Linked DNA regions of Lytechinus pictus. The protein of the gene in region 2 interacts with the protein of the main gene of each other region in a pairwise test. Links are inferred from orthologs where the notes say so. Each region holds a gene or a part of one and is shown on either strand. Other genes may lie near its edges.

Region 1 (17,066 bases), on a different chromosome or scaffold from region 2:
ATTTTTACCAAGTCTCATAAGCATTTGGCAAAAACTGTGGAAGTAGTCCACTCTGATTTTTTCCCTTCTGATTAATTGCAACACAACCATGGCAACAGAGCACCTGACAAGCTTGAAAATGTATCTTTACTCCAAGACCAATGTGTGTGCCAACTTAACATAGAATTAGTTTGCTCCACAATACTTTCCTTTAACCTATAACCATGGCAATAATTATAATATTTTGATAGCAATAATAGTAATAACAATAATGATGATGGTGATTATGATAACGATGATGATGATAATGATGACAATGATGATGAAAATGATGATGAAGATAATAAATATAATATTGTTCATAATATGATGCCAAATCCATTTGCCTATCAAAATATAAACCTTATACACCCCCTAAAAATCTATTCACCAAGTACAAATAGGACAAACCTGGAGACATAAATCAATTTTAGGTGGACCACATGTTGCACATCTAATGTAAGGTTCCATGAGAAATGAGGAGCAACCAGGACAGGGAGGCTGGTCCATCGACTGGAGTCCAAAAGCCAAGCCCGAGAGTGATGCCATCATTCTCACAGCTGGTCAATCTTAGCTAGAATAACAAAATAACAAATAGGGGAAACCGGGGTTAGTTCGAACGCGGGGTTAGTTGAAACATTGTAATTTTCTTTAACGTCTTTAAATAAATTTCTGCAATACTGCCCTCAATTTATTGTCATTATCAACAGCCATTACAGACAACACATGTGCAACAAGCCTGGTGAAGTTAGAAAGGAATTTTTGTTTTAAGACCTTCTGAGTATTTTTTTTCTCTTTCAGAAATGTTTATTATCTCAGAGAAGTTTAGAGATCAAGTTGGCCAGTTTGGGGGTATAATAGACACTTGTACCAAGCTACAAAATGAGGCTATTAATATGCCATGGTGAAGTCCCTTTTTTGTGCTGTAAGCTTATAAATGTCAAATGGGCCTCCGGGGTCAGTTGGAACAAAATTGAAGGGGCTAGTTGGAACATGTTCCAACTTACCCCAAACATAATTATGAATAAAAACATTGGATATGAGAAAAAAATATATAAAGTATTTCACACTCTTCTGAACAGGTCTGAGTGTGCATTTAAGGCCTATTGTAGGCCCCTAATGCAATATTAACCCTTATCAAACTGGGGGGGGGGGTCAATTTGAGCCCCCCCACCCTCGTCGCGCAATTTTTTTTACTACAGTGCTCGCTGACTTTTTACTTTCTAGTCTTGCGCATCATTTGAGCAAAAAATTTGTGATGCCTGTGTGCGCGGTTTCGAAATTACGCAACATTTTGTACGTGCATGTCGGACCCAAAATTGCTCAAAAACGTGATTCCATGTACAAGGTCAATGCAAATTGTGTTTTTCAACCAAAAGTCATAAATGTATGATTATTTTATACTTTTGTTGGTTCAAATAGATTTATTTTATGCTATTTATGATCGCAAAAGAGTCCCGACAAAGTTCATCGGAAAAAACAAAGGTTCGAAAAAACAAAGAAATACAAATAAAAAAAACAAAATATACATAAGAAATTATATTTTTTTCAATTTTTTGTGGATATTTGTTATAAATGTGAAAATTGATACTCTCACCAAAAATTAGCATTCTACTAGCTTAATAAATAGAGTTAAAGGCAAAAACAAACAAATTTAGGGCAAATTTCATATGCTTATTTGCATTTAAGTAATTAATGAAAAAAGTATAAGTTACAATTAATTTTTGTCTTGTAAATTTGATGCAGAAGTACATGAAATTGCTGATAGTACACTTAATTCATGTAAAATCAAATGCACCCAAATATGCGGAATTCTACTACACAGTGTGCTTGCGTGAGTGGCTGTATAATAGAAAACATAAAGTTCGACAAATCCACACTTTAAATACACTACTCAAAAAAAGTTAAGGACCACTTTTTAAAACGTACATAAAGATTTTATACAAGGTGTTTTATTTCTGGAAATACCTCAGTACAACTGTCCTAAATGTCCTTAAACACGCTGTAATCAATTTCAAGCATGGGTGGTTTCAGTTGTTGCACAATGTCTCTCGCATCACTGCACATCCTGAAAAGTGGGCCCCGAGGGGTATCAGCTACCGACATGAAGTGGTAAAAACGAATGTCTGAGTGTCTTTCAGGCAGTTCAGTAACGAGTGTGACCACCTCCTGCAGCAATAACGGCTTCACAGCGCTGTCTCATGGAGCTGATGAGGCGATTGATGTCTCTGACGTCCAGTGCATCCCATGCAGCCTCCAGAGCCACACCCAGCTGCTGCAGTCCAAGTGGATGGGCTTCGAGCTGCTCGAGACTCCTCCCCATCATGTCCCAGACGTGCTCTATTGGGTTTAAGTCCGGGGACCTCGCTGGCCACTCCATACGCTCAATCCCCTGGCCCTCAAGGAACTCGGTCACCACCCTAGCTCGGTGGGCACGGGCATTGTCATCCATGAAAATGATGTTTTGTCCCACATTTTCTGCAAATGGCACCACTATAGGTTCAAGGACCTCATCCCTGTACCTCACTCCTGTCATTGCTCCCCCTGGGACCACGTAGAGACGAGTACGGTTGGCGTAGGTGATGCCTCCCCACACCATGACGCTGCCTCCCCCATAACGGTCATGTTCTGCAATACAGGGGTCTGCAAATCTCTCTCCTGGTCGCCTCCAGACTCTCGAACGTCCATCATTGTGGTCAAGGGAAAATCTGCTCTCATCTGTGAACAGAACTCTACGCCATTGCTGTCTGGTCCATCTGACATGCTCCCGGGCCCAGTTGAGACGAATTCTTCTGTGAGCAGGGGTGAGTGGGACACACTGAGCTGGCCGTCTGGCATGCATATTGGCTCTGTGAAGTCGGTTACGGATTGTTTGAGTGGAAACAATCACTCCAGTTGCTGCAGCGAAGTCATTGTTGAGGCGGCGTGCACTGTGAAAGCGGTTGCGGAGGCTGAGATTCGTCAAGTAGCGATCATCTCTAGGGGTTGTCGAAACTGGTCGGCCACTGCGGGGTCTCTCGGAGTATAGCCCTGTCTCTCGGTGTCTTTGATTTGCTCTGCTAATGACACTGTGTGACACGCCCATCATTCTGGCTACTCTTCGCTGACTGAGGCCAGCTTCCAGCATCCCTAGGGCTCTGGCTACATCTGTTTCACTTAGGTGGTGTCTTGGCATTGCTGTTGTAGGCAAGTTGTTGATTGTACAGACTAAAGACGGAAAATGCTTTGGAAGACACTTGTCTTATGGCCCACTGCAATGATGCCAGAGACATCATGAAAGAACTGCATGTGTGAAATTGATGTCATTGTGTTTGATGGCATTCTGGACAGCTGTATCTTGGCATTGCTATTGTCAGCAAGTTGTTGATTGTAGAGACTAAAGACAGAAAATGCTTTGGAAGCCACTTTTTTACGGGCACATTGCAATGATGCAAGAGACATGAAAGAACTGAATGTGTGAAATTGATTTCATTGTGTTTGATGGCATCCTGGACAGCTGTATCTTGGCATTGCTGTTGTCAGCAATTTGTTGATTGTAGAGACTAAAGACAGAAAATGCATTTGAATCCACATTTGTACCACTTCACAATGGGCCCACTTTTCAGGATATGCAATAATGCGAGAGACATCATGCAACAACTGAAACCACCCATGTGTGAAATTGTTACAGGGTGTTTGAGGAGATTCAAGACAGCCATATTCGGGTATTTCTAGAAATACAACACCCGGTTTGAAAATTGTATACACACATTAAAAAGTGGTCCTTAACTTTTTTTGAGTAGTGTATTTTGAACTTGAAAAAAATAAAGCAAATAGGCTAAAACCATGTAATATTAGTTTTAAGAAGTTTTAGTATAATTCTTAATTGACTATGCAGTGTTCCAACTTACCCCGTATTGGGGTAAGTTGGAACGTTTGCGATGGTCTTGCTCAAGGTGGATTTTTTTTTCAGTACCGGGGTAACCATAATAGAGTTAAAAATTTCATGGGGTACATTTGAAGCCCTTAGATATATGCTTCAAGCTGATATATTGATTGTTTTCTCGAATAAAATCTATTTGGATTTTACAGCCATTTTTGTCAAAAATGTTCCAACTGACCCCATCTCCCCTACTATGAATATACAGCTTAAACATTATCACATTTGCATGTCATGATTTGACAGATCTCCTTCAGAATTTGCCATGATTATGCTCTGTATGGTGGTGTGACCTTAATTCGCGCGTTACCTAATTTTGCGCACTGTTAAATATCTCAATTTCTAATTAATATCTTGAAAAACTGATATCACCAACAGAAAGAGCGACTCCAAATTACTTAGTATGGTAATTTTCTTGAGGGTAAGGTCTCTATTTGTGAAAATATTGGCAAAACATCGGCAAATTTTGTCACCTTTTGCGTCCGCTCCAAGAAAATTCGATCTTCTCGACAAGCATCAAGAAATCGCCAGTTTGCAAGCAGAGCTCTCCAAATAAGTAAAATGTGATACCAACCGAATTCATGGCATTTTAACCTCCATCTGATATAATTATCTTACCTTTGTCTGCTAGATTTCTTTTCTAAATCCTTGCAAAACAATTGTGCGCAAATTAAGGTCACACTTTTTTATGACACTTTTTCAGCCGAGCGCGCACTAGTCGATCGCCATGGAATTTTGAGATCGTGATACCAGCGAAACCCTTGACCTACTTTATAATTCCGTCAAGCGAATTGGACTTTGGGATCTTGCCTTCCCTTTGGTATTAATGGTTTTGATTAATTTTGTGTGAGCTGTGAGAAATTAATGATTGAAAATCAACTTCATGATAATATTTAAAATGTGCGCAAATTATGGTCACCCCATCATACATATTGGGCTATTACCATGCTCACAGCCTCACAGTAATTTTAAGTTCTCAGATGCTGCACAAGTTTTAATCACTAAAATTCCACATTCATACCCACCCTTGAAGTTCTGTATTTGCACAAGCCACAGGGCTCACTCACTAATTTCTATGAATGAAATCTGTCTTGGGCCTGGGGCGCGGGCAGCGTGCATGCAGTTTACATACAATGCAGTTAACGTTATAAACCAATGTCAATGAGCTGCAATGTACGAGATTTTGCCATGCTTTCATAGTAGGCTACTTAATAACTACTACCCACTTGATCTATATTTCCACAAAATGAAACATATTGTGTAATTATGATGCCTATTCACCATTAATTTGAAGCTTATTTTTATCCTAGTTCGAGTCTCACTCTGAATGCTGAGATAATTCATGCACGATGAATTCATGAATGGAATTTATCGTTATCGATCGCGCATGCACATTGTGCTTTAATCAAACAAGATCGAAATTGATCTTAAAGGAAAATCATGATGCGACCAACGTAAAATAAATCTTGTTCTCATTAACAATATTTCTTATTATGACCATAGAACATTATTTAATCATAATATTTTGACAATAATTTGCAAATGATAATTAATAATATGAATTTAGGGCTTGATGTGAAACATTTGTATTTCGTTTCCATTTTTAATGACGGACATCACAAATTCCTGAACGAGTGATGGGTGCACTTTTCTAAAAAAAATTATATCATGTCAGGATTGATTTTCAAACATCAAACATCAAACTTGTGCAACGCTTAACCCGTCCCTCAGCACGGTCATGACGGAGCACAAAAATTGACTTGATTTTCCCGCCTTCAAATTTCAATGCATCGATGTTCAATCAAATTAAAGCTGTTTACAAAATAATCGATATGACTTACGCCCAACGGAAGTTATCATATTACCATGAAGCTATAAAACACAGAAGGAGATCCTTCTTCCAATTCCTCTGTTAATCCTTTGTTATCGCTCCCTTCTGGCGAAGGAACGATATCTAACATCAATCTGCGAGCCGCCAGGTGAAAGTAAGAGCCCGCTTACGTAACGCGATAAGCCCGCTCGTAAAATTTCAGGTCAGTGATTTTTTTAAGGTCCCTGCGAGGCACCACCGTAAACGACGTTCTTCCACATAACTTCCCTTCGAGCTCTGATTTTTTTTCAAAATCGAAACATGACTTGCTGGCCTTCCAACATTCATATCTCTTCGTACGGATTCCTGATACATCTTTGATGTAAGGTTGAACTTCTGAGATGATCCCCTTTGCACACACACCAAATACGTTGAAATCTAATTCAATCCAGCCATAGTACGAACGGAGAAAGTTGGATATTATTTATTTATGTTCGTCTGTTTTTCTTGCTTTATATTTTATAAACCTTTTCCTGTATGCTCCTGTCTTAGAAATTACAATGAGGGGAAAAAGCATTTCAAACTTGATTTCGATGCTAAGATTATTTGTTCGGTCATGTTCGCCTTGAAAATATAATGACGAATCTACGGGGCATTTCTACGGCGATTGTTGCATCGTCGAGTATCCTCCAGTGCCCCACATACTCCTATTTGTGTAAGTAGCAGCGCCACGTACGCACTCGTGGAAATCCACATAAACTCCAGGTTCCCTATGCAAGGACACGATTTCTTCAAACATCATTTTACCCAGAAGCTATCAGGCTGTGGAACTCATTACCGCCTGTCGCTGTCAACTGCACCTCATTGGTCATTGGAGCTTTTCAAGCTGAAGGTGCAGTGTGTCAAGCTTTGTTAAGCTTCAGTCCTGTTTTTTTTTGCTGCACCGTACACTCAGCACTTGACAAGCACAAGGTACGATAATACGCCAGTGACTGTTCCAGACTGGAAGAAGAAGAAGTTGAAGGTGAGTGTGATGCGGGAGCTCCATGCTCACACATTTACACAGTACAGGCCTCAGCTCCGGACCGTTCCGGAAAAAAATATTAGAATTGACGCATTTGAAGAGATAGATCTATACCTAACTTTTATGATATTTCGTTGATTATGATCTGTAAAATTTATTCATATTAATATTACCCATTGGCATTGGGTCCGAATATCAGCATTTTAAATTGCATTCGATCAACTTTCCCTCTCTGATTTACAAGCGGCCTGCGCCCGTAAGTGTGATGGTGCCGTGATGGACCACCCAGCTGTGAGGGGATTACCGGTGCCGCGCATAGGGCAAAATTGGACTTTCAATTAAAATGGGCCTATTTTTTACCGAACCATCGAACCAGGCCTTTGGCTTTGTGTTCGGTTCGAAAGTGCCAAGTTTGGCAAGCTTGGTTCAGATCGAAACCTTTAAATTTCATGCTCTCCATTAATGACATCCAGTGACGTAATACACTTATAATGAGCCCCCCAAAAAAAAAATTGTAGGGGGCTGCTGGGGCAGATATTTGGACCAAAAAGTTTTTTTTTATAGATTTTGATTAATATTCAGAGAATAGACAATAATAGTTTAGAAGACCTCCATTTCCCTTTCCTTTTCTCTCTTTCTATATTTTTTGGGACCTTGGCTTGCACTTGCCCTACTCAGACTCAGTTTCGCCCTCAGTTTGGTTGTGAATTTTTTTTGGGGGGGGCGGCCTTGCGCTTGCCCCCCCCCAAAAAAAAAAAAAATAGTTTGCTTGGTTTGTGTTAACTGTTATTGTAGGCTTTACCAGGAAAAATAGTTAGGCCAAAGCAACAGAAGCCGGGCCAACTGTTTGAGTTGGTTGGATGCTCTCTCCTTTTTAGTTTTACTGCTTCATTCATATTCATTCACCCGAAGTTATTAGTCTATTCCTATCACCTGTACGTAAGATTTTTTATACACGCAGGTAAAGGGTCTAAAGCACAATTATGTGACCGATCCGTTAAAATCGTACACGAGCTAAATCGCTCGCAACACATGCTGGTTGTAAATGTCAAGTTCATACTCGCATGAATTCACGTCACATACGGTACTTAGTCGAGAGAAAGACTTATTTATGTTAATCTTTATATCTTTTCAGTATGTATGGTAGTTATAATTACCTCTGATAATTATCTTTATTGCCTTTTACGTCCTTGCTCTGGCTTAGCTTAGCCTTAATCTTATCAATCATGTGTAAATCGAGTGAGTCCCTTCCCTTTCACCTTTCGACGTCACTCACCATGCTCACGTCGCTCCGTTTTCGAAAAAAAAACCAGACCGATTTTAGATTAAAATATAGAATATTGAAGTGACAGTATCAGGATGGTTCAAGGAAAGATCAAAACAAAAGTGCAAGTCCCAGGAAAGGGTAGTCGAAATAAGCAAAAATATGCTCATCAGAAGAAGAAAGGGCCAAAGAGAGGAGGTAGGTAGATTTAGTTTCGAGAGGATCTACGGTATGCATTGCCCGACGCGTAAGAATTTGTGCTGGGTCAGTGTTTCCACAGGCACAGCTCCAAAATAAATTTCCCGAAATTGAATCCCAATTACCAAATTTCCTGAAATTCATAGATATTTCCTGGAATTTTCATGTTTGATTTCAACAAAAATCGGGCAATAAATGAATAATATAGCAAGCCTAAATTTGGTCCAGGTGGCCAAATCAAGGAATTCAGCATTTTTTTGTTCACGCCCTCTTTAAAGGACGTTCCACAGTAACATGTTTGTGCGCATTATGATCTGCGCATAGTTTACACTCTGCGCGCTGACGTCACAATGGGTGAACAGGTGATTAATTAGCTGCGGGTATGTGCTGATTTTTCTCATCTTCTGCACTTTAACTGCAGATCCGATGCGTTTTTTCATGAAGCTAAAAAATTGAATTATTCCATGGACCATTCAAAAAAAGATTCTCTACAATTTCAAAATACTTTACTCTGCAGTGCTGCCAAGAATCACAAATATTACCCCGAGTTTGAATAAATGGTAGAGTGGTTTTGATTTTTTTTTCACATAGATACAAAGCATTCGGCGCATATTTGGTGTTTTAAAAAGCACATTTGCTCTAATAAAAATACTGATAGTTTAAAAACAAGCACATGAACGTTAATGTTTGTTCCTCTTAAGTATACCTTCCTCTACAACTCTACAAATTTTGGTGAAAATGACATGGATTTTGAATAAAGTGCAGCATTTATTGTACTTTTGTAGTTTGTTACTGAAATTTCACATTTTTTAGATTGGGATTTTGTTATCTTTTACGCCATTTTTAAGAACTGACAGTGCTGTTAAACTTAAAATTGCAAACAAATAGCACTATGAATATATTCTCCGTTCTAATGATACAATTATTAACTCTCTTGCGAAATTTGATGACTTTTTCATGTATTTTGACTGAGTAATACAGGTTTAAACTCATTGTAGTAATCTTGGGCGGTCTAAAAATGCCAAATTCTTTTGAATGCGCAATTCTTAAGAACATCAATTTGGGTGAACTTTGAACTTCTATAGCAAAAAATCAAGCACATGGACCTATGTTAATTTTTGCATATTTCGAACATTAAGGTTCTAAAGTATCTATGTGCAAAGTTTCGTGAAAATGACATGGATTTCACTTTAACTGTGGAACGTCCTTAAATAGGTATGATGGGGGCACTCAGCCACTCACACTAACTTTGTTAGTAGTAAAGATAAAAGATATGCCAATTTTAGTATTTGAACAAATTACCTTTCACCAATTTGTGGCAAACTTAACATTCTAAAGATCATTAACCAAGAAGAAAATATCACAAACTACGAAAATCCCGCCGTGTTTTCCAACACCTCTTGATTTCGCCGCCTAATGTTAAATGTAGAGAAGGGGTCCTAAAGCTACGCACTTGATTTATCATGCAAAAAAATAGTATTTCTAAAATATGTTCACAGTATTAGAGGATAAAATGAAATTAAAGCGAATATAATTTCAAAATTCCAAACAGTTGTTGGTTTTCTCTGCATTTAGAGATTTACATTTACAGTAGAAAAAATTGAATAAGAATCGTTTGTCACTCTGCAGTCACAGTTCCACACACAGAGTGCACATTTGCCATAAAAACTGCATGCGCGATGAGTGGTGTGTAGCTTTAGGACCCCCTACCATAAAGGGGTCTAGACTAGACCTATAGGAACAAAAATTACAAAATGTGACTTTGCGAGAGCGGAAAATTTTGAGCTACGTACCGTAAGGGCACTAGTATTCAACCCGTTTGGAGAGTTTCCTCAAATGTATAGAAATATGGAATTTACTATAATTTCAGACCTGTCTTATTTTCAAGAGCATGCTGGTTATTCTTTTTGCTTTTTTATATTTTTTTTCTTCAACTATCGACTGTGTGCGCGGGCGATTGAATTATACGGCGATGGTTTTTGGCACTAGTATTCAACCTAGCGATGAAAGATGGCCCTGTCTCTCAATCTGCCCTTGTCCCATCCGACTATGGACTAGACCATTTGAGATGAGACCAAACAGGGAATTAGTCAAAGCCAGAGACTTACATAGATCTAGATCTAGTTTAGCAATCTAAACCATTTTGAGATTCACTATCTATCATCACTAAGTTGAATACTAGTGCAATTCAGTGCAAAAGGTCATGGCCGCATAATTCGCTCCTCCGAGCATAGATTGATTAAGAAAATACTGACAACAGATTACCCTGAAAATAACAAAGGTATGAAATTAAGATAGTTCCCTTTTTCTAAATATTTGGGGGAATTTGTCCAAATCTTTGAAATATGCCGGGTTGAATACTAGTGCCCATAATAGTTGCTACGTTTAATTGTAAATTTTGAATTTCCCGAAATTTCCTGGAATTTTTTCATTTCCCGAACCTTTCCTGGAAAAAGTCAAAATTTTCCGAATTTCGGGAAGAGTGGAAACACTGTGCTGGGTCAATCTGATAATCATCCCTCACGTTGCGTTATTCGCGCAAAAATCAGTAACGCTATACACTACACTACATACAGGGCAACACTAGCCACTGCAATGCAGTTTGTATAGGGGGGGGGGGGTCACTTTATATTTTTGAAGCCTTTTTTGTCTTTGGATTACACTAAGATATGAATTCAATTTTGTTATCTATTTTTTTCTATATTTCCTTACATTTTGTACTCAAAGAATAAGATTTTTTTAAAGTACAGCTGGCAGCCATCTGTTTCGAGGAGTTTTTTAAAAATTTTTATTTTTCCTTGTACACAGACGGCTCATGATCATGCAGCCACCATTAGGGGGTTTACAATGCAAAATTCCCCCGACGGGGCTAATCGATTTTTGTCTTTATCTCATAAAAATATATAAAAAGAACTGGACCAAAATAAATCATTCTGTTTGGCCTGAAATGCACCAAAACAGGAAAAAATAAACTTAAAAGGAAAAAAAACAGTGACTTACTTTGGCTGTTGAGTGTCGCGCAACTCCCACTTCCCTGGTTTATCCGAACTTAATACATAAACATATGGCCATTGAGTCCCTGTACAGATCGAGTAAGAACTTTGGTCTCTGTATGAGTGGAGCCAACAGAACAACCAATATCATTAACCCACTCTCAAGGCTTCATGGATTACGATGAGAAAGGCTGCATATTGAGGCCTGTACGTGAATCCTGGTGAATTGTCATTGAAATTCATTAATCATGATCTGATTTTGTTTAAATTTTATCAATCTATGTATTGCAGCATGCAGATTTAAAGTTTATGGTTGTTATGTGTCTTCTTTGGTTAGAATCATGCGAAATCATTGGGCTAATCGCTCTGCATTTTTATCAAAACTCAACATGGTTTCAATTTTCTCACAGAGCAATTGGTCAAGACATTTGTTCTGTCATTTTTCTCTAAACATTAGATTGGATCATTGATTTTGATTTTTTTTTGTTTTTCACATAGAAAATACATATCTGGCAATTAAATACCACTTTCAAATTCAAGTCACTAAAATGGAATATATAAGTTGCAGTAATGTTTATAAATGTTTCTGAATTTCTTTGTCTAAATGTTTGGGAAAATGCTAATGTCATGGGGAAGAGAGATTTTACAACTCACTGTTTTTGTTATTTTATTTCAGCCAGATTCATCGCTCCTAAGAAAGCAAAGCAGATAGAAGCTGCTAAACTGAAGAAGGTGAGAAACTATTTTAGATCATCAGTAAGGAAATATAATGGAAAAAGGAAAATCAATATCTTTCAATTCAGATATTGACCTGTATATAAAAGTCATCTTTCTTGAGATTTCATGGAAAGTTGATTACTATTTGCTGAGAAGTGATAGACATACCTGTGATATCTGATCTGCTTTAGGGCTCTGCCAGTCACAGTGTACCATTGAAAGTCTGTGATTAATCACAGACTTTGCTTGATTTGGCCAAAATCGGAGCAGGTCCTCTGAGATAATGACTAAGCTTATGAGGCAAGGAGAATGTTACTTTATATTGGACAAAAGAATTCAATTTTACTCAGATTGAAGTAGAACAAACACATGTTGATGTCTAAAACTCTACAGATTTTAAATTTTACATTAAAACTGATGCTTGGGTAACTGTCTGTCTCTCTCGAGAATTAATTTCAAATGATATGAAGTTTAGCAATGATGTACAGATTACCAATCTAATTAAACAGACCATTGAGATCATTCATGATTGATTGACTTAAATGTAGGGTTTGCCTTATATAAGCAGAATAAATACAGGTTATTATGTCCAAGTCAAGTCTCCTAGAAACAAAGAAAACACTATACTTTTCTGGTTGCAGAATTGCTTTAATTTAGAATAGTATTTCCATTATTTTGTTTTATACATATTTAAGCATATTTAAAAATAACTATTGTTTCTTTGATGGAGATAGGGGAATGGATGGCATCTGATTCAGGGTGAGATGGGATGGTGATAAATTTTCATTAATATTTTATCAAGTGGATTTCTTTCACAAGTGAATGTATTAAACTGAACTGATAATCCTTTTACTGTTATTTTTTTACTAATGATACGATTGACATTTAACATCCTCTTTTCCCTTGCAGAATATCACAAAGGCAATCAGCTCTCGGAATGAGCAAGAAATCATTTCCCAGGCTGCCTCTAAAGAACCAAAGAAGCTTTTGGTAGCTGCACCTTCATCAGGGGGAGGTGATTCAAAGAAGAAAGGAAAAAAATGATCAAGGCATGAAACTTTTGAAGGATTGATGAATAACGATCGTGCATCAAGGACTCTGGGGGAAACTAGAGAGCAGAGAACAGCATAATTGGTGTAAAAGATTTCAGCAAAATTTTCTTCAAACAAGTAACATGTGGATTCAAAACCAGAGAAATTGAGCAAACAGTGTTTCATGGATGGTGATTGCAGATACTGGACATTCAACAAGCTTTCATAATAACTCAAGGAGTAGGCAGTTATGTTGAACTTTGATGTAAAGAACACTTACATACTCTGAGAATCACTCTAGGGGCCAGTTCCACTGAATTTGTTTAAGCTTAAGCCCTTTTTTTACTCTCCACATGGAAGTTTTAATCAGAAAGAAAGAACTTGTGTCATGGTTGAGTGAGCTTGATTGGATTAACATTCCCTCACATACCTTTCTCTCTCCCTTAAATGAATTTAGTTAAAAACATGGAGATCCAAACTTTAAAAAACCCAAAATTAAAGTGCATGTAACATTGTCAGCATAGAGCCATAGATAACAAAATAACCTAAATACCAGGATTAAAATGCAACTTAAAAATCTTTTGAAACCAAGGGGGGGTAGCCTCCTGACCAGTAGAAAAGGTGACCACTTTGGTTCTCAACTATTGGCTTACATTTTGAATCCAAAAACTAAAAATACTCTCATATATGTTAAAGGTCGAGACACTGAAATCAGTCTCTTCAAACTCATGTTTATGCTACTTGTAGGCAATATTTCTAAAAGGAAAACAGTTGTTACAAGAACTGTTGAAAAAAAAGTAGAAATACTGGCTTAACAATTTTCACTTTTTAAAGAATCATTCGCATAATATTATGTTGATACTTTCAACCTATGAATTGAATGTACATAATATATACAGGTACATGTAACTTTGCTTCTGTCAAATATTTTAGGGCCACAGAAATATGTTCAACTTTGGAGAAATTTGACTTGGCATAATTCGCATAGTATGGTTTCTTAAAAAAATGCTTCGACTTGGGCGAATATTTGACTTATAGAAGTTTGACGTACTAGGAAGCAAATTTACCTCTACATGTACAAAGAACAGCTTGAAAATGAAATCACAAAATAAATGGAAAAAAAGTAGTGACATTTCTTGTTTGAGTTAATTTCATTATTTATTTTTTTTCATATTGAAAATACACATTATGCAAGTTGAAAGTTACATTTACTTCAATACACAATATTTCACATTAGATATTTCATTACATAGTATGTATCTCATAATTACACTATTTTATAAAATCTTTATTCAGCCTTTGAGGCAATTATTCAAGGGCACTAAAAGATGAAGAATATCAAATATGTACTCCCTCCTTCAATACATGTACAATATTTGATATTCTTTGAGAAATTAAGTTGCCTCGGGTCATATTGATAGGCGAAGTTCACTTTAATGACAAGATGGTTTCAATAAAGCCACAAAAAGCACTAAAAATGAAGGTAGACCGAAAATCCATCAAAAATTACAAAGTTATTACTTTTAAAAGCTTTGATTTTGTGATGTCACAAGACACAAATAAATTGCCATCTTCAGGGATAATGAAGATTGGATAATTTATAGAAGCATGAAACTGAATGCACTTCTTTTCTATGACAATTGTTTTTCATGGAAATTATGTTTAAAAACCAATTTTGGGAGCTTTTTGCATGTGATGTCAATACTAACATTTTAAATTCCGTAACTGATATCATTTGATGGATTTTTGCTGGAGTTATTGTTCTTTATATTCAACCAACTTGAGGCAAGAGGCCCTTTCAGCTCTTTAAAGAAAAAAAGAATGTGTATCCAGTGATAAAACTTATGAATCCCTTCAGAAGTAATACGTATGGATGTTTTAGGACAGCATACCTGCTAGTTTAACCCCAGCAATAAATAGGCTATATACCAGTACATAATGAAGTTGTATCTGCTGTAACTTACATTGGACATACTTAAACAGCAATTCAATGTTGGTAATGATAAAATTTGTGTGAAAGCAGATCAAGAAAAACAATCGTATTTGTCTAAGAGAAATTGACCAGGAATGAAACAAATTAAGGATAATTAAATCAAGCTGTTGCCATACATGTACTTTAAATTTATTAATATTACCCATTCCACATATGAAAATAAATTACAAAAATTTAGGGTAGCTATATTGATGTCCACATTTCATACATTATATAATCTTTCAGTGTCCTTACTTTAGAATAACAAGATCTTCAAATATATCCTGTAATATACATTTCATTTAATTAAAAGTATTCCTTTCATGAAAACAAGGTATTGACTTTGCTCATAGTCATAGGATTAAATATAATTGATTGTCATGTGCTAACAAGTTTCTAGCTAAAGGGAAATACATTAATTCTAACATTCTTGGCCTTGACTCACTTCACTCCTTTAATTTATGATTTTTTTTTATTTACACATCTGCAAAAATTTTTTTTTTCTAAAGTCACATTTCAAAACTGGTTATGTTTAAATCATGGACAAAATGAAATAGAAAAGCGGTACAGTTCAAAATTGAACTTGTATTCAATATATCAGAGCTACTAATAGTACCAAACCAAGTGACGGCAAAAGCAAAACTCTTAAGACCTATCTAGCAAAATATTAAGAAATGTTGCTCATTGTCCATAAAACACATCCTGGGATAAAACTTTGTGGACTCGACCGGGGACAAAAAGTAGGTAGATAAGAAAGCTAAAACTTGCCTACAAAATACCCTACATATTCATAATTATTGTATCTAATGGTATGTGAACTTTTACAAAATGATATTCAATGGATTTTGTAAAGCAATTGAATCACAAATGATATAATTGAACAAAGAGTGTGTTTATGTAAATATACTTGATGTATGAAGTATATTTGAATGCAAAGACTGAAACACAAAACTTCAATTTTCCTTGCTCTAAAGCGATTACATAAACCCTGAAATATTTGTAATTTTAAAATTCATAATTTGTTACTTTTTCTGAAATAATAGATGTTTTTCTGGTAAATCAAAAGATCAGGTAAATCAAATCATGTGACTGTTTAATAGTTACAAATTAAATCGAAAACAATACATATCTTGATCTGACAACTCTTTGAGCCCCAAAATAATATTGATTTTCTAATTCATGATTTCTCACTTTTCTAAAATAATATAATTTTGTAATCATATATCAAAACAAACATTCTTGAAATAAATACAAATCATACTTCTGTACTTAAAAATCATAAATCTCTTAATCTGAAAAATATCTAGCCAAAGTTACAATGAAGTATCATGATATATATTCAACATTATTCTTAGTAAAAATATTAATTCTAGAGGAAAGCCCCCCCTCCCTCCCCCCTTCGGCCAAAGCTTTCAAGGCAGGAAGGGCCAATTATATGAGCCTACATGTAGGTTAAGTTAAACTGAAGTTATTGCGTTTACAAGGACTGCAGAAGGGTAAGATGAAAATATGTAACTGTGGCCTTGACCTTTGGACCTCAAAATCAAGAGGCTTCCTGGGATTCATGCTAGTATCATACACACCAAATTATATGAGCCTAGGTTAAGTCAAACTGAAGTTATCGCGTTTACAAGGAAAAGTTAACGGACGGACACCGAGGGTGATACCATAATACGTCCCATCCTAGGACGGGTGTATAAAAACCACAGATATTTACTATGATCGGGCACATTTTCATGTAAAATCACAAAATTTATTCTATAAAACACATTTTCATTTCATATTCTCCACAACATAACTGTTAGGGCATTAACGATCATATAATCTAGTAATAAATTGAATCATTCATAGTCGCATTTTGGGGTATTTACCAAACCTAAAGATAGGCTTCAGAAATTATATGGACAAATATATTTCTTCCTATTAACTGAGCTCTGAATATCAAAATGCAGCATTTGTCCTGATTTTCAAATTTGCCATGAGAATGATTTGGAGGCTCTATCCTTGGATAAAGTGATATAAAGCTAATTCACAGTTAGCAAGTTATCATATTACATTGTTACATGAGTTGGTGATCAATCATAATATGAAAGAATAATTTTTACCTAATTATACTGTAC
Region 2 (17,304 bases):
ATAGTATTACTCCTCAAATGTGCTATGTATCAATCATAATTATGTTCTGCATCAGTGTGTGTGTGAGACACTTGAAGTAGAAACAAGGTAAAATAAAGATGGTTTAATTACAAATAATTCAAATATTTTACCTTCTAGTCTTTGTCTCTTGATTTCTTCCTCAGTCGGCAAGTCGTCTACTTTACGTTTATCATTCGCTGAAGAAAAAAATTATTTGACAATGAAAGGGATAATAACCATATGAATTTTCTACTATGGCAACAAGTATTTGTACTTTGATTGTATGTATTTTCATATCAATTCAACTCAATAATGGAACAAATCAGCCGACAAATCAACAATTCATTTCATAACGAAAAGGCTTATAACCATAATTTATCAATTTTCAAGTATGGCTACAAATAGTTTGATTGTATGGTTTAATTATCATAGCAACTCAACTCAATAACATAAGAAATCGGTACACAGTACAAAATATCACAACCACACGGTAAGGCTAAAATATTCACATTAAGATATTTATGCAGCTTTGGACTGATGCTGAAATAAGTAAGGAAGTGATTTCATGATTTGCTATTGTTTTTCTTACTATACATAGACAAACACTCATTTGTTAACTATCATGAGGTTTTGACTCACAAATAAAACCACCACAAAATAAGCTCCCCAGTGGTATGCTTCACAATATAATAATACAACCGAATTAAGTCAATATTATGCTTGTTTATTTGCTATTCATAAAACTTAGGTATTGATTATAGGGGTAATATTATGCTATCATACACAATGGGTGATTTCAAATTTGGTGTTGACCTTTTGGTGTTGGTATTAGATTATTTTCACACGAGTATAACACCAAAAATAAAAGATGATCCTGTCAAGTTACTCACTAGGTGTTGAGCTACCCGTTTTTGTGATCTGGATATTTGTGTAATCTCAGAATAGGCATTGGAGCTAGAAAAGACAATTCAAAAATGTGCTTTCAACACCAACACCGGATTTGAAATTACCCAATCATAGAAATCAAAACCAAATAATAATTCACTTGAAGTGATCATTTCACTTTGTTCTGATTTAAAAAATTCTCATTTTGGTTCTTGAAAATGGGCTAAACATTAGGCTTATAGTGTAAAAATACCATCTCAAAAGTTTCAAAGTATTATATCTACAGGATCAATTTAAAACATTGGAGATGTAAACCAAAGTTTCAAAATAATTGGGAGTTGGTTTCAATGACTATGTGTATAGAGCGAATCTGTGCAACACAACACATTAACTCTAGATGAACACAGCATGACCTACATACAGTGTGTACAAGGTATACACTAAATGTACAGTGCAGCTAATAGCGTGTGTATAGGAGATACACACAGCAGAAGGCAGTCAACATAGCCAACAGACTTTTTGAATTGGAGAAAACTGGTCATAAGCTGAGCCTGTCTACTAGACGGTTCTCAAAATCAAGCTAATAAATTGCTACTTGTATCTAAATTACAGTTTTTCATCCTATATTGAAGTCTGTTTCAGGGTTTTTGAGGACAAATACAGGCACTCATACACATGTTTCGTCTCAGTTTGAGAATTTTTTAAATCAGCTGCTCACAAAGTCAAACGATCCCTTTAAGTTTATGTTACAGGGCCCAGATCTTATTCGTGAATTTTAAAAGAAAAAAAATTATTCCACTTTTTGATTCCTACCTTGAGTAGCAGCTAGAGCACTTAACCTTGCCGCTCTCCTTACGTTAACCAACCCTGGACTGAGGTTAAAGGACGTATGACCATCTGACATAGAGGGCGCACAAGTAGTGGTTGTTGTCACAGTGATACGACCAAGTGCTTGGGCAGAGGGATCAGAAGAATCTTCAAGTTCAGTGGTGCCCTCCGGTGAGGCAAGGGGTACAGCTCCTTGGACAGGGGTAAACTCTGGGTCCCAGATGGGTGAATTACTGTCATATGCTTCTTCTTCTAACATTGACAGGAATCTACACAAACAACAATAAATTAACAAACCACTAGTCAGATCTAAAAGGACGCACTCTAGATGATCATCTTCTTGATTTTTAACAGATAATATACAGTAGATTAAAACAATTGCAACAAAACTTATCAAACTAGTAGAATAATAGGTTGGAAAATCCACAAACAACAGCAGTAGTCAGTGGAAAGGCAAAGAGCTTTAACAAACTGATATGAAAATTACATATTTAATTAACATAATTGAAAAGCTGTGTGTAAGGATTCAAGTTGAGAAGTTCACCCACAATTGACTTGCATTCGCTTTCAAAGTAATTGAGGCCACTGCTCCATTATATAGATGAAGACAGAAATCTAGAAATTGCATAAAACAAGAACTCATGAAACAAACAGCAATAATCCTACCTTGGAAAGTGGGTGAGGACCAGGTTACGTTTCTCAGCAGGCATGTTGTCCTTCTCAGAACGTAACATATCTAAGACCTGCCGCCTCATCGCAGGGAAGACAGTCTTGAGAAGCGTTCGACCAAAGATATCCGTTGGTTCATGATGCTGTAGGCTATCACAGAATGATGGCACATGACAGTAGCACAGCCACCTACAGAAGAAAAATGGGTCAGATATCATGGAAGCAGATGATGGCACAATTAAGTATGACCAACACTTTGGCTGCATATACCAACATTTCCCGGTTAGAAACAAGTTTTCAAAAACTTTAAAAAACAAGTTTTTATAAAGAAATGTGTTTACCATCTCATTTCATTGCACCATTTGACCCTAAGGATGGTCCTCTGTTTATACTAGTGGCTGTGTACTTAGACGAAAACGGGTAGTGGAAATGGGAGGTGGAAAAGGGCGGTACAAATGCCTTTCCAATACCTTTATTTTATCTTCCATGAAGAAACGTGTTGCTGGTACTTGTTTGGGATTGCACACAATTTTTTTCTTGTTTTATTGTTCTTTGGGACTGATGTTGCCATCATAAAATGATGAATAGTGACCCATGACTGTCACATAAGAAAACCATAATTAAATAAATAGTACAAGGTTTTACATCAAGCTAATCAAATATGAATTATTCTTAACCCTCAATCTCCCGGGGTATTTTGATTCTTGTCATTCCCGGGGGGGGGGCCCATTATGGCCCCCCCTTAAGATCTCAGCCGTGGATTGCGCGATCACAATGAAAATTTGCATGATGGTAGAGAATGACGTAATCTGCGCCGTTGCATTGGTAAATTTCACTAAATTCATATATTTTTATTTTATATGAATTAATTATGCTAATTTATTCATGAAATCATACTTTTTGCTCTGATTCACTAAATAAAGCTCCTAGAATGCTATTTTTTGGGCGAAAATATTTTTTATAGCATTCCTAACAATTGTGAATGAAAAAAATTCTGGTACCAAGACCGATTTCTTATGTATTTTATTGTTTTTTTAATTTCTTATGTATTTCTTTGTTTTTTTACTTTTTGTTTTTTTATTGTTTTTTCGATGGAAATTGTTCCAGACTTAATTCTGATCATAAACAAGGCAAAATTAATTAAGTTTAATCAGTAAAAGTAGAAATAATGATACATTTATGAATTTTGGCCAAATACACAATTTGCATTGGATTTGTACATGAAATCACATTTATGAGCAATTTTGGGTCTGACATGCACTTACATAATGTTGCGTAATGTCGTAACCGCGTACCCGGGCGTCACAAATTTGGTCTCAAAATTTGCACGAGACTTGAAAGTAAAAAGTCAGTGAGCGGCGAGGTCAAAAATTTTTGCGCAGCATATATATCGCGAAAATTGTCGAGGGGGGGGGGCCATTATGCCCCCCCCCCCCCGGGAGAATTAGGGTTAAATCTGTCCATGTTTGGAGCTAAAGGGAATGTGTTGGAAGGGAGTGAATTCTACAGCCGAGCCGTCCTTGGTATATATGATGATTGATGAAGAGAAGTGTTTGACTTTGGGACAGTGACTATGTGGGGGGGGGGGGGAGCTGTAGTAGAGCGTGTCAAACAGACATTGGGGGCCAAGGGGGGAAGCATTCCAGACAACTCAAGGGAAGGTTTCAGGAAGAAGTGACGGTGGGAGGTACAGAGAAATGCAACACTATTTCCTCTGGTGCTGAAGAGGTTAAAGCCCAATCTTGGAAGGGTTTTCAATTCTCAGGAGGCAGAGTGATTTCCACAGTAACCTATCACGAAGTGCGAGTACACTGATGCCTGCTCCAGCCCGAATTGAGGGATTTGAAAAAGGCTATTGAATCCAAACACTGTACTGACCTTGTGTAGGTAACCTTGTAAGCACCCGCTTCATCTAGCTGGGCTCTTTGCTTCCTAGCGGTGGGTGTCTCAAGCTTCCAATGGTTCATACAGTGAAGGAACATCTTAGCAAGGTCATACATCGTCATCCAATCCTTGTGGACCAGGTGACCAAACTTGTAGTGGACAAAATTGGACACCCCCTGTAAGAAGAAGAGTACAAGAGGGAGGAACATTTAAGGTGAAGGGAAGAAAGACATGGAGGTGAGAAAAAGGGTGAAGGAAATACATTGATCGATAAACCACATAACTGATTCATGCCTCATTCATAGCTCAATTCATATCTTCCTGTAACATTTAATTGAACATCAAGTTATCAACCTACATGAAGGAGGCCTACAAGTTAGCGTACAGATAGAAAATGTTGCGCAAGGGGACAAGGTACATATAAAAGACAAGAGGCAACTATTGATAGTAAATTTAAAAACTTCAGTTATTACTACCAATAAGACATTCATGCAGTATACTATAAAATCAAATGAGTAATCTCTGGAGCTTACTTTTGCAATGCTTGGTTTCTCAAAAGGAGGTCGACCTAAAGGACCTTCTACCGATGGTGAGTTCATCTGCAGGATACATTTCCTCAGGAGCTGTACAAGGAATACATCAAAAAAAATTATGAGTCAAATATGTTTCACATTTTTAGACATGAAATTCTTTATTAAGCTTAACATCATGAAAAGAGCATAAGAAAGGGTAGATTTGTTTTTGCGCAAATATTCACTTTTTTAAAGCTAAAACAACAATAACATATTTGAAAAATGAGATGACATTTTCACATTTTAATTCAACTGCCCAGAGCTGAAATCCCGCCCTTGCCAATCTTCTGCATCAAGTATAACATCAAGTCAAGCGATAAAATTGAAACCCTTCAAGCTTCCATGTTCCGTAGTTGCTCAACAGATAGTGGTGCTGATTTTTTTTTTACCCGATTGCTAAGAAAGCATGTATGCTTGTAAGCAAGTAAGCAGAGGACTGACAGCTTAAGGTCCTCTCCGAGGGACCTGGTAATGAGGATAAATGCCTTACCATAGGGCACTAGCGCACCAAGTGGGAATCAAACCCGAGTGACCAGGATCCAAGCAACCCCCCCCCCACCTCCCCGCTCTACCGACTGACCGATCGCACCTCCTCATTAACCCTAATTCTCCCGGGGGGGGGGGGGCCATAATGGCCCCCCCCTCGACAATTTTCGCGATATATCTGCTGCGCAAAATTGTTTAACCTCGCCGCTCACTGACTTTTTACTTTCAAGTCTCGCGCAAATTTTGAGACCAAATTTGTGACGCCCGGGTACGCGGTTACGACATTACGCAACATTATGTAAGTGCATGTCAGACCCAAAATTGCTCATAAACGTGATTGCATGTACAAATCCAATGCAAATTGTGTATTTGGCCAGACTTCATAAATGTATCATTATTTCTACTTTTAACGATTAAACTTAATTAATTTTGCCTTGTTTATGATCAGAATTAAGTCTGGAGTGATTTCCATCGAAAAAACAACAAAAAGTAAAAAAACAAAGAAATACATAAGAAATATAAAAAAAAATAAAATACATAAGAAATTGGTCTTGGTAACAGAATTTTTTTCATTCACAATTGTTAGGAATGCTATAAAGAATATTTTCACCAAAAAATAGCATTCTAGGAGCTTTATTTAGTGAATCAGAGCAAAAAGTATGATTTCATGAATAAATTAGCATAATTAATTCATATAAAATAAAAATATATGAATTCAGTGAAATTTACCAATGCAACTGCGTAGATTACGTCATTCTCTACCATCATGCAAATTTTCATTGTGATCGCAAAATCAACGGCTGAGATCTTAAGGGGGGGCCATTATGGCCCCCCCCCCCCCCCCCCCCCCCCCGGAATGACAAGAATCAAAATACCCCGGGAGATTGAGGGTTAAGTTTTCATTCAACACTAACACATTTCTGAATACAGAAGGATGTAGTGAACTATACCTTGAACAAATGAAAGTAGACCTGCTTTGTATCGGCATCTTCTTCCTTGTGGACAGACATGAACAGGTGTTCGACATCGACTACGATGCCCAGGAGCCTGTCAATCTCCTCCTCAGCGACATCCTCTAGATGGGATACATGTTCAGCTGGAAGAAATTTGTTCACACATTGTTATTATCCGCGCCTCATAAATGCTATATATTATTATTATTATCATTATTATTATTATTATTATTGGTCATTTTGCCTCCGACGAAGATTCTGCTAGGATCGAAAGCTTAGGCCCCTTTTTGACTTTATATTATTATTATTATCATCATTATCATAAGATTGACCAATATCATAAATGGCTATTTTCTTTATCATGCATTGATATGTACAGATGTGTATATCCCCTAAGCCCTGAAAAAAAAAACATGTTAGAGCCAACCAATGTCTGTGATAAGGGACTTTTAATAGCAGAAAAGCAGTTTGAGTGGCACCCAAGCAATCATCTTGTTGCCTTTGGTTAATGCAAGGCCTGGGAGTATGGAAGATTCAGTATACTTATGTTTGGGCTATGGAACATTTAAAACAATTTAAAGGACACAATGGAGCACTGAACATAAAGTACTAATGTCTTGGTGCCCTGTAGCAATTCAGTTCATGTGTCCCACAGAAAAGTAAATTTTACTATTAATGCCTTTCTTTAATGACCTTGGATGCCTCTAAAGTGACCACTACCTTTCCTTTCCTTTCAGTGTCATAATGGCCTTGCCCCTATGAATCTTAATTCAAGCCCTATTCCTCTATTATTGTTAAAACTTAATGAATCAAGTGTACAGATGGGAGCATACATACCAAGTTGATGGCCACAGCTCTTGCATGGGTCTGATCTACTAGCCAATGGGGTTGTTATATCCAGTCTAGCTGGTTGTGTCGGTGTAGGAGGTGGATTAGGATTCTTCCAACCATTGCACTTGCATGCTTCGTCTGCCTGCAAACAACAAAAGACAACAAAATAGGCCTACTGGTTACCTTCTTCTATCATGCACAATCACAAGTCTGGTGTGGCCTATCACAAAATGATCAAAAGTAGATGCATGCGAGAGCCACCAAATTACGCAGCACTGCACAGGATATACAACGGGAAAGTTACAATTGGTATTTTCTCTTTTTTGGTCATTTTGAAGATACACTCTTTAATTTGCAAGACAATTGGCAAACTTGGAACATAACCACAGATTTCTTTGTTTCTTGCGCAGTTTTTGGCGATCCCGTTTCATAAGTCTGGGCTGAGCTACGCAAGGCTTTAGAAATATGGCGCAGATGCAGATTCTGCCTTTTTACTACAAAATTGGGCTTTCAGAGGGGATTTTGGAGTTGAATTTAAAATTAAAATCAGAATTTCCTGGCACGCTATAAACTGGCTGTGGAGATAGTGCATGTGTGTAACAAAAGTTGTTGGGGCCATTTGTGTGCCGTGGACCATGGTGACGGAATGTGCGCTGTGCTGATTTGTGAAAACAAGATTGGCAGTCAAATCCTGGTGCATGTCAAATCAGTAGAGGTGCTGGTCCAAAAATTGAGATTGTCCCAGAAAACAAGGATATCCTCATAAACCAAGACAAATGTCTTGATGCATGTAAATAGCAATTGTCCTTGTTTATGGGGATATTTTTTTTCACTTACCCCTGCGGGACATACATGCAGACAGCAAATAGGGGATTGAGAGTGCTAAAAATAGATTTGGTGACCTCAATTCCCCCAAGTTGACCGTCTATTTTGCACGACTTGCCATCTTCCAATAATCTTGTTATGAAAAATGATATGTTAAGATTGACTAGCACACTTGATTGGTGTCGGCATTTGACAAGCGAATGACTTTCCAAGATTTCTTGTGTGGAGAAATTTTTGAAAACTGAGACAGTACCTGTAAACTGTGATGATCCCAAATTTCTGACCAGTGCCTGTACTGCAAATTAAGGGTGCATTTAATAGTAATACTACTAGTCTAATGTTAGCTGATAAACAAGCTTTTTGAAAATCCTTCCTCTCCTCGTCTGATTTCTGGCTCTGTCCTGTGCCTGCTTTATTTTAATATTTTTCTTGGCCTAACGTTAAGAAGAGACTCTAGGCCTAGAGATCTATCGACTAGATCATGAGATCTATATCTTGTCTTGTCTTTTTGTTAATGCCAACAATCATTATATTAATAATGGCATATGAATGTCTAGAAATAACCATCGTTTCTGGGGGTTTATTTAACAATTTCAGATATTTTACTACAATCCCCATTCACCGACAGTAGTACGTTAGTGCGAGCCCGTATGTGTAATCATTTCTCCCAATTCAGGCATATAGTGTTTTGTCTAGATTTTTTTCTTTTTTTAGGTCTATATGACTTTATATTATCTTAAACGACGGTCCACATTTTCGTTTGATTCTTATCTTTCTTTTTATAAGTACTACGAACTATGAAATAAAAGATCGAAAATCTATGTGACCGACTGACCGATGATTTATTCCTTATTTTATCAAATATTTTGCCGGAGAGGAAAACTGGCAGATGTATATTGCTGCCTTCTACGTTCGTTGATTAAAGCTTTTGTTTTATCAAGGCTTTCTGATTAGAATTTTCGATATGCGAGCAACAAGTTCCGAGAAACGCAGCGGCACGAATCACGATATACAGCGACTTCGACTGGTAAAAACATCATTCAAGATGGCAATTTACGATGACCGTCAAAAGGATCGAGGGTGACTAAGTTTTCATCATCATTTGAAGGGAATTAGCAGTAACTGCGGTCCAAAGTGTGAAATTTGAAATTTCTTAATTTTATATATTTCCTTGTCAAGTTGGATGTAGATTCCAATTTCTTTTTTGTAAATGAGATATTTTTTAACAAAAACTGTACATTGGTTTTGTACAGGTGTAGTAAATTTGCCATGTACCTGTACTTACCCTATATGTATTAGTATGTGTATAAGTCTATGTATTGATCTATGTTCATGTACATTAAGTCTGTGTATGTGCTGTGTGTATGCGAGGAGCGCTCCTGATTGGAGGAGCCTTTATATGCTCCTACGCCTGCTACGTGTGTGCGTTGCACAGCACGTACACAAGTTGGTGCCTGGTTGGGAGAGGAGAGATTGGATCCAGACACCAGAGAGAGAAGACCCAGAGACGCCATCGAGTGAGGACATCCCAGTAGCTCCCCACTCGGCGCCATGGTCTGCAACCTAGCTATATAGAAGTCAATGTTACCTGAGTTAGTTATCTACCGTGTGGAATCCTTAGTACAAGTGTCAGGTGAGTATTAGTTGTTGTCCGTGTCTTGTACCGTCGGTAATTAACCCATTCGTGAGTTTCGTGAGTCGTAACCCTTGTCAGTGTTGTACTTGTAAGTTTAACCACTCGCCATCGTTTATCGTAACGTATCGTATCTCGTGCCATCACATCATCTGTAACCCACAACTTTCATTTTTACAACATTGGCGATTGCGAGTTTTCGGATCGTTCTGTGCGCCTGTCATTTACATTTTCATCATTTCATGTCCGTTCATACTTCATATTTGCTCATGAAAGTCATTTGTGAGTGATTTTGAAGTGTATAACGAACGGAGAGTGAGTGGGAAGTTTTCCGCTCTCTACCGAGAATTGGAAATTTGCGTGCCGTGATTGCGTGGATTCGCATGCATCTCGCACACATCTTGTTTTAGTTCTACCATTTTTTCGTACATGATATCATTTCTTGTTTGTTACAAGTGGATTTTGATATATATTTGCCATATCTAGGGAATTATTTCATATCCACTACGTTGCATTTTCATTGCAACGCACGTGGTATTCTCTGTGCACACGGTGCACACGCCCTACATTGTTTAGTTGCACTTGCATTTCTCATCGCATTCTTCGCGAGTCTCTTCTATTGTTTGGCTCGCGATCAAGAATTTCGTTCCTTGCATATTTTTGCGTCGCTTACCATCTCGTTGCTTTTGTTTGTAAATTCTTTGAAATCTGCTACTAGGCGAGGATATTTTTAGTCCGCCATTGTCTTTATAAGCTTTCTTTCAAATTCGGAACATTCACACCACACCACTTCCAAAAAAAAGTCGGGTGTGAGTATTTGGTGGATTTATTGGATTGGAAAAGTTAATTTGAACTTGAAATTTTCTCTCGATCCTCAGTAATTATTCCAGATGGTATAAGTTTCCTAGAATTTCATACTCTTGCATATCGGGCAGTGCACCAATATTTTGAGGGCGTAGAGTTGTTCATACATTTCTATAAAATTTCCAGTATATATTTTCTATCGACATTTGGCAAGTGTTTTTTACAGCCAGTTCTGTACACATTGAGTGGCAGAAAGAGTGATAGAAGTTCTAATACTCCTGGTTGCCGAGTTGAGTAATAGTCTGAATTTACTTCAAATTTTTACCCAGCTCGAAATTACACTTGTGTCGGTGGTACGTTAGAGGTGGGTTTTTCTGAATTTCAGATCTTACCTGTTACTAGAAAATAGGTGGGTTTTCTGAGCTTCGGATCTTACCTAGCTGTAACTTGAAAATATACTCTTGAATTTTGTTCTTAATCAATACACATCTTGTGAATTTTCTTTAAAGCATTTCATTCATCACATTTGATATTGTGATTGTTTCTCTTTAATAACTGTGATTGTCATTGTCTTAAATTCAATCTAAAAGTTATTGTTACTCATTGTTGCTAATTGTTCACCCACTCGGTAGAATTGTGTGTGAATATATAGACATCTATAAACTATTCCAGTGTCAGACCCGTTGGGACTGGAAAAAATAGACGTCTGAATTATTTGTGTGAATAGACTTCTGTATAATAATTCCAGTGTCAGACCCGTTGGGACTGGAAAAAATATAGACGTCTGAAATATTTGTGTGAATATACTTCTGTCAATACCAGTGTCAGACCCGTTGGGACTGTGAAAGAGAAGTCTGAATATTTTTATCTTCCCTATCAAATAATTGGTAGTTTGGGCTGGTTGGGTGTAGGCTCCATAATTTTTTTGAAATTGTGTAGTTTTGCAGAGAAACCGGTAGGCTATTAATTTCTTGATAACTTGGATATATTATTCTCTATGTTCTTCATGTTACATGTTTATATGTCGTTTTGATTCGAACTAAAATTGAATCAACACTATTGATTAATCTATGTGCTGATGGTGATTTCCATTGCTTTAGAGATTAAACTATTTGGAAGTCAAGAAGTAATAGATTGTTTTTGACAAAAAATTGACAATCTTCCCTCGATCCCTCGATCGCCTAGCTCACTCGGCGAAACACTGCCGAGCCGAATCACGTGACTCTATTTCATTGATTCTGCTAGCGACTCTCGTTGACAGAACACTGAACAGTCGATCAGAGTTAGAATTTGGGAAACTCTGATTTTATACGATTATCGTGATTGACCGTTGATTTATTCTAATGATTAGTTCTAAGTAGGAACTCGTAGAAATTGATTTTGTAATTTGATCATTCTTTTTGTAGTTAATTTTAGGTCTAACGTCGCGCGGTTTTCAACCAACACCAGCGCAACGCACCTCTCTGTCTGGCCCGTAACTCCAGGCAGGGATAACGTGCACGAACCGGCTATCGTCGCCGTGAAGGCAAATTTTGAACGAGTTTCCTTTTCGTCAGATTTTACTGACAATTTGCTGGATTTACCTGCCAATTGTCTCTTGACTCAATATTTACGCAAACTGAGCTAAATTCATTGATTTTATACTGCCATATTTCGTGTTATACTGTTAGTAGATCTTGTTAAATTTATCTTCCCAAGCTTAGCTTTGTCTGGTGTACCGGGTACCGTACATCGAGTTTAATACTAGACTACCTGTGACCGTTTGTGCAGTAGCACTTTGCAGTTTTGTATCTTTGAGATACAGTCAGTTCGACTGTCTTACTGGAAACTTAAAAGAATTTATTTAATTAATCTTCTGAGCTTACCTTCAGATTTAACGTTAACAATATTAGGTTAAAGTTAACGTTAGTCTTTTTGGATCTTTAATTTTCTTAGTGGATTAGTAAATAAGCACTGTTGTCCTGATTACTAAAAGTCTTGGAAGTTCAATTAATTTCTAACCCTAAAATACTAAAATTAGTCCAGGTTAGAAAAATCCTATTGTCTTAATTTGATATCAAATTCCATTATTACTTGGGATTTTTAGGAATCTTTGCAGCCGAAAATCTTGTTAAAACTTTAATCTCTCGGGTGTTTGTAATTTCCTGACCGTGTATACCTGGAGCCAACAAGTGCAATAGTTTGCTTTGCCTTTTGACTCGGTGTACAGCTGGTTTGAACGAGGACTTGGAATTTAATTTCAGGCCCTTAGTTCTTTGTAGGAAATTTTTCTTGGAGGTTATCCTGGATTGTCTTTCTGTCTGTTTGAAATTCAGGTTTTCTTAGTAGATTACTTTTTAACAAGCATTGTTAGATCAGGAATTTTTCTTTGGAATAATTCTTGCTTGTAAATTTAATTCCTATATGAGAGATTTAATTTCTATATTTTTAAAAGAAAGATTGTTCTCAAGTAAAGGTCAAAAAGTTCTGAATAAATTTTAATAAGGTTCTTGAAAATACTTATTTTAATTCAATCAACTCTTGATTCTGATTTTAAGTGAAAAGTACAGATACTATTGATCTTTGATATCAGAATAATTGATATCAACATTCTTTGAAATTATTTTTTTCATATAGTTGCTTTTGTATTTTTGGAACATCATTCTTGCGCTGAAAATTTGCAAATTTCTATTCAGGCTCTAGAATCCCATTCATCAGTGAAGTACAAAATTCACTGCTGTCATTTTGCGCAAGTTGATTTCTAAATAGTAGTCTCATCATTTTTTAGTTGGTAACTTATCCCCATTCTAAAAAAAAAGAAGAAAAAAAAAGAGGAAAGAAAATTGGATGTGGGATAAATGTGTGTTTGACATTTATATATTGCATTCATCAGAAATAAACATTTATATATTGCATTTATATATTGCATTCATCAGAAATAAACAATTATTATTGAATGCTACTCCTGTAAATCGTTGAGGCTTCGATAAGTTGAATCCTTGTTAGGTTCTTTTAATAGTCGTAGAGTAAGTAAAACTTATTGACACTTCTGCGATTACTCAGAGTAGTAGAAGTTTGATATTCTATTCTACAAGTGTAGTTTCTGAAACTTGAAGCTGCACTGTACTTTGTAAATATACTTTCACTGAATACATCCATTGCTACAGGAGTGTGTACATTTATTATTAATATTCAGAGTCAGACGCTTGTTCTTAGCAGTACAAGTATTGCAGTACTTCACTCTTTCCTTGGCAGTAAGTGTGTTCAGTGACACAAGTATAAACAAACCTAGTTAAGTTCTTTCACTGATCTGCAAGCTTTATTCTGCTAAGTTTAATACACTGTAGATCATTGAATAAATGAAAGTATCATTTAAAATATGTTTAAGAATATGCCTTTGAATCACCAAGGTGATCATCAATAATACTTTCCTGAATTTATCTGGAATTCATAATGATGCAAAGTGAAATCGCCAGAGCAAGACAAGGATTAGTTGAAGACATTATAGACAGTCGTAATACTAGTAGGGGATACTTATATGAGTATTCACTGGCAAATAATCTGTACAAGCTTGGTTATCCAAGAAATTTTGTAGATGAATTTGTTTATGAGAGGTTTGATTGTTCAAGGATACATTATTTATCTGATCTCGATTTAACAGATCTTGTATATAAATGTGCTGATAAATGCCAATATAAATATGCTGAACCCAATACTGGTAGAAAGCCTCAGGCTGATAATTTGAGTACTGATGCATCTTATCATTCTAGGACTGATCATCATGAAGATTGTTCAAGGAATTTTGGTCATATTTCATATGGTTCTTCCAAGGTTGATCAGGATAGATATCATTCACAATATACTGATCACTCTAGATATGCTCCTGGTACTCCCTATAGTAGTGAGGATTCCAAACATTTACATTCATCTTATACTCAATGTGAACCCAGATCAAACAGCAGGGTTCAGAGTACAAATAAACATGATTCTTATCCACAATCTTCCTGTCATACTTCTAATGATCATTCCAAAGATGATGCTTATATAGCAATGATGATGCACTGTATGGCTGTTCAAATGAAATCATTGTCAGAAGAACTGAAATCATCTCGGCATTCATCTACTCTAGATTCAAGGCTTCCGTCCTTAGATCGAGGTTGCGATGCCCTGAGATCTTATTCTCGTGGGTGTACTGGTCCGCGAGTGTCCTCGTTGCCCAAGTACGTGACCTTCGATGGTAGAGGATGTTGGCACACTTTTATACGTAATTTCCAGCTTTATTCGGAAGATCGAGGTTGGGGTCAAGCCCAACAGCTCAATGAACTTTGCTTTTGTCTTGAGGGAAGCGCAATCAAATATTTTGCATCAATTATTGTTTCTTCCAAGCTAAACATTCCCTATACAGATGTTATCAAGAAGCTTGAGCAAAGATTTGCTTCCAAAGAATTTCCTGTCGCACAATTGCAATTTGATTTTGCGCAGCAGGCAACAACCGAAACAAAGGGGGAATGGGCCGACCGTGTCCTATCCTACGCTTCACGCGTCTTTGACGGATTGCCTGAGGAGATTTTTGAGAGGCAAATAGTGCAAAAGTTTTGTCAGGGTTTATTAGACCATGAAGCGGGAAAATACGCTATCAAATCACGTCCTCGGAATCTCGATGATGCCATTTACTTAGTTCGGTGGTTTCAGCATCGGCTAACGTATGCAAGACAAAGGTCTTACGATACTGTCGAGGAGGATCCCAGAGTTAACCGTATGGGTGTTTCCGGGCATGCCTCTAATGCTCAGCAGTCCTCCGGTCAGAACAGTCTGGAGGACCGAGTGCCCAATCTGGAGAAGAAGGTTGATATTCAATCTGCTCCAGGGGCACAGATGAAGTCCTTCCAGTCCTCAGTCCAGGGATCGGTAACTGCTGTCCCAGAGCTGAATAGGCATACAGATTCTCCTTCGACAGAAGACACTGAATCCAAGTTGTCTTGTCGTGATGTTTGTTTTGCATGTAACAAATCTGGACACTTCAAGAGGAACTGTCCAGAACGTTTAACAATAGATGTAGATACTTGTGTTTCTGATAATGTCATTAGTGTAGATGCTGTAACTGTAAATACCACATGTATAGATGATGTAACTGTAGATATTTCATGTGTAAGTGATGTTACAGTTAATACCTTAGATGTAGATAATGTAAGTTTTGTAACTGTGTCAGAGGACAGTCGAGCCTCTACTGAGGATGCCAAGCATGGGCAGAGTTATCTTGTGCAAATGCTTTGGGGAAGTACCCCTCCTAAGCTGTCCATCCTTGATTTCCTCAGTTCTCTCCTCTGGTGGAACCAGAGGTATGTATGTAGTTTCAGTAACGGCCAATTCCTTTTATCTTGTCCGTGGCTCCTTCCTCCCTGGCCACCACCCCAATAATGGAGTACTATCTCCTTGATCAGTTGCTGAAAGTCCTGCAATTGAAATTTCTGTTGTTATACATTGTAATTCCTTTAATAGTCACTGAAGGTGAAGGCACACCTCTTATTTTCAATAGCTTTTACCTCTTCAGGTGACATATGAATTAATAGGTGCAAACACTGTTTATGCAATAGCTCTTTTATACTACATAAGATATATAGATATTTCAACCATAGATCCTTTACCTTGTTTGCAAAGGCTTTATAAACAACCCTGGAAATATTGTCATACAGGATGTTGAAATAGTAGTAGTTTTTTCTCAAGAGAAAATACTATGTATGTATGTCAAGTCCAGGTTGTTATATCTATTTGCACCAGATCTGGTTGAATTACCCTTACATTACATATGTTTTTAAGAGCTCAAACATATTACCAATCATATATCATATTTGTAAAGGTCACATTGTACAGGCCTATATTAATTGGTAATAGAGCTCCAGCCAAATTGGCTTTATTCCATTGTCATTATTTTAATAGTACAATATACAACTTAATATAAAGCACTGACCAAGAGTCAACTTTAAGAATCTATGTCAAGTAGTGCACTTTGAAGGATGAACATACAATGTACCTTCTTTCAGTCATTCAGACTTGCACTAAAATAAGAAGATAACCTTTGTATCAATACATAGACAAGACTGGGCCAGCCTGGCCAGATTAATACTTACCATTAACTTGTTCTTGTTTCTCCAAGTGTATATTTGCTGGTCTCAAGTGATGAGATGTTTAATTTTGCTGGACCAGCAATCTTTTTAATGAACAAGTTAAGAATAGTTCATATCCTCAGATCACACTTTTTGTGTATTTGAGGTATTTTATTGATGTCATGTATTTAATCAGTTTTAATCATATAGGCATATATTACATTCTTCTGTCAGAGTTCTTCATATCTGTTTTTATCTATTGAGATTGCACAATATAGCCAATTCATGGATTTGTCAATATATGTCGCAATCTGATGGAACCGGGAGGAATGTAGTAAATTTGCCATGTACCTGTACTTACCCTATATGTATTAGTATGTGTATAAGTCTATGTATTGATCTATGTTCATGTACATTAAGTCTGTGTATGTGCTGTGTGTATGCGAGGAGCGCTCCTGATTGGAGGAGCCTTTATATGCTCCTACGCCTGCTACGTGTGTGCGTTGCACAGCACGTACACAAGTTGGTGCCTGGTTGGGAGAGGAGAGATTGGATCCAGACACCAGAGAGAGAAGACCCAGAGACGCCATCGAGTGAGGACATCCCAGTAGCTCCCCACTCGGCGCCATGGTCTGCAACCTAGCTATATAGAAGTCAATGTTACCTGAGTTAGTTATCTACCGTGTGGAATCCTTAGTACAAGTGTCAGGTGAGTATTAGTTGTTGTCCGTGTCTTGTACCGTCGGTAATTAACCCATTCGTGAGTTTCGTGAGTCGTAACCCTTGTCAGTGTTGTACTTGTAAGTTTAACCACTCGCCATCGTTTATCGTAACGTATCGTATCTCGTGCC

The links.
Region 1: the proteins of histone acetyltransferase KAT2B-like (region 2) and transcriptional adapter 2-alpha-like interact in a two-hybrid assay, tested with the Drosophila melanogaster proteins (2 studies listed by BioGRID). The link is inferred for Lytechinus pictus from reciprocal best matches to the Drosophila melanogaster genes Gcn5 and Ada2a.

Annotation. Positions count from the first base shown.
Region 1 is NC_087246.1:15,000,320-15,017,385, forward strand, and holds the start of transcriptional adapter 2-alpha-like, read right to left. Parts: upstream 8,071-17,066; 5' UTR 7,929-8,070; exon of another isoform or gene 7,408-7,928; intron 593-7,407; 5' UTR 571-592; coding exon 430-570; intron 1-429. Other genes in the region: leydig cell tumor 10 kDa protein homolog, read left to right, coding at 8,131-8,233, 11,903-11,958, 12,853-12,987. UniProt on the Drosophila melanogaster protein: Component of the histone acetyltransferase (HAT) complex ATAC; predominantly involved in acetylation of histone H4, including at Lys-6 (H4K5ac) and Lys-13 (H4K12ac).
Region 2 is NC_087257.1:2,578,582-2,595,885, reverse strand, and holds the start of histone acetyltransferase KAT2B-like, read right to left. Parts: upstream 7,852-17,304; 5' UTR 7,115-7,851; intron 6,421-7,114; 5' UTR 6,335-6,420; coding exon 6,275-6,334; intron 4,890-6,274; coding exon 4,800-4,889; intron 4,443-4,799; coding exon 4,261-4,442; intron 2,572-4,260; coding exon 2,380-2,571; intron 1,983-2,379; coding exon 1,699-1,982; intron 198-1,698; coding exon 132-197; intron 1-131.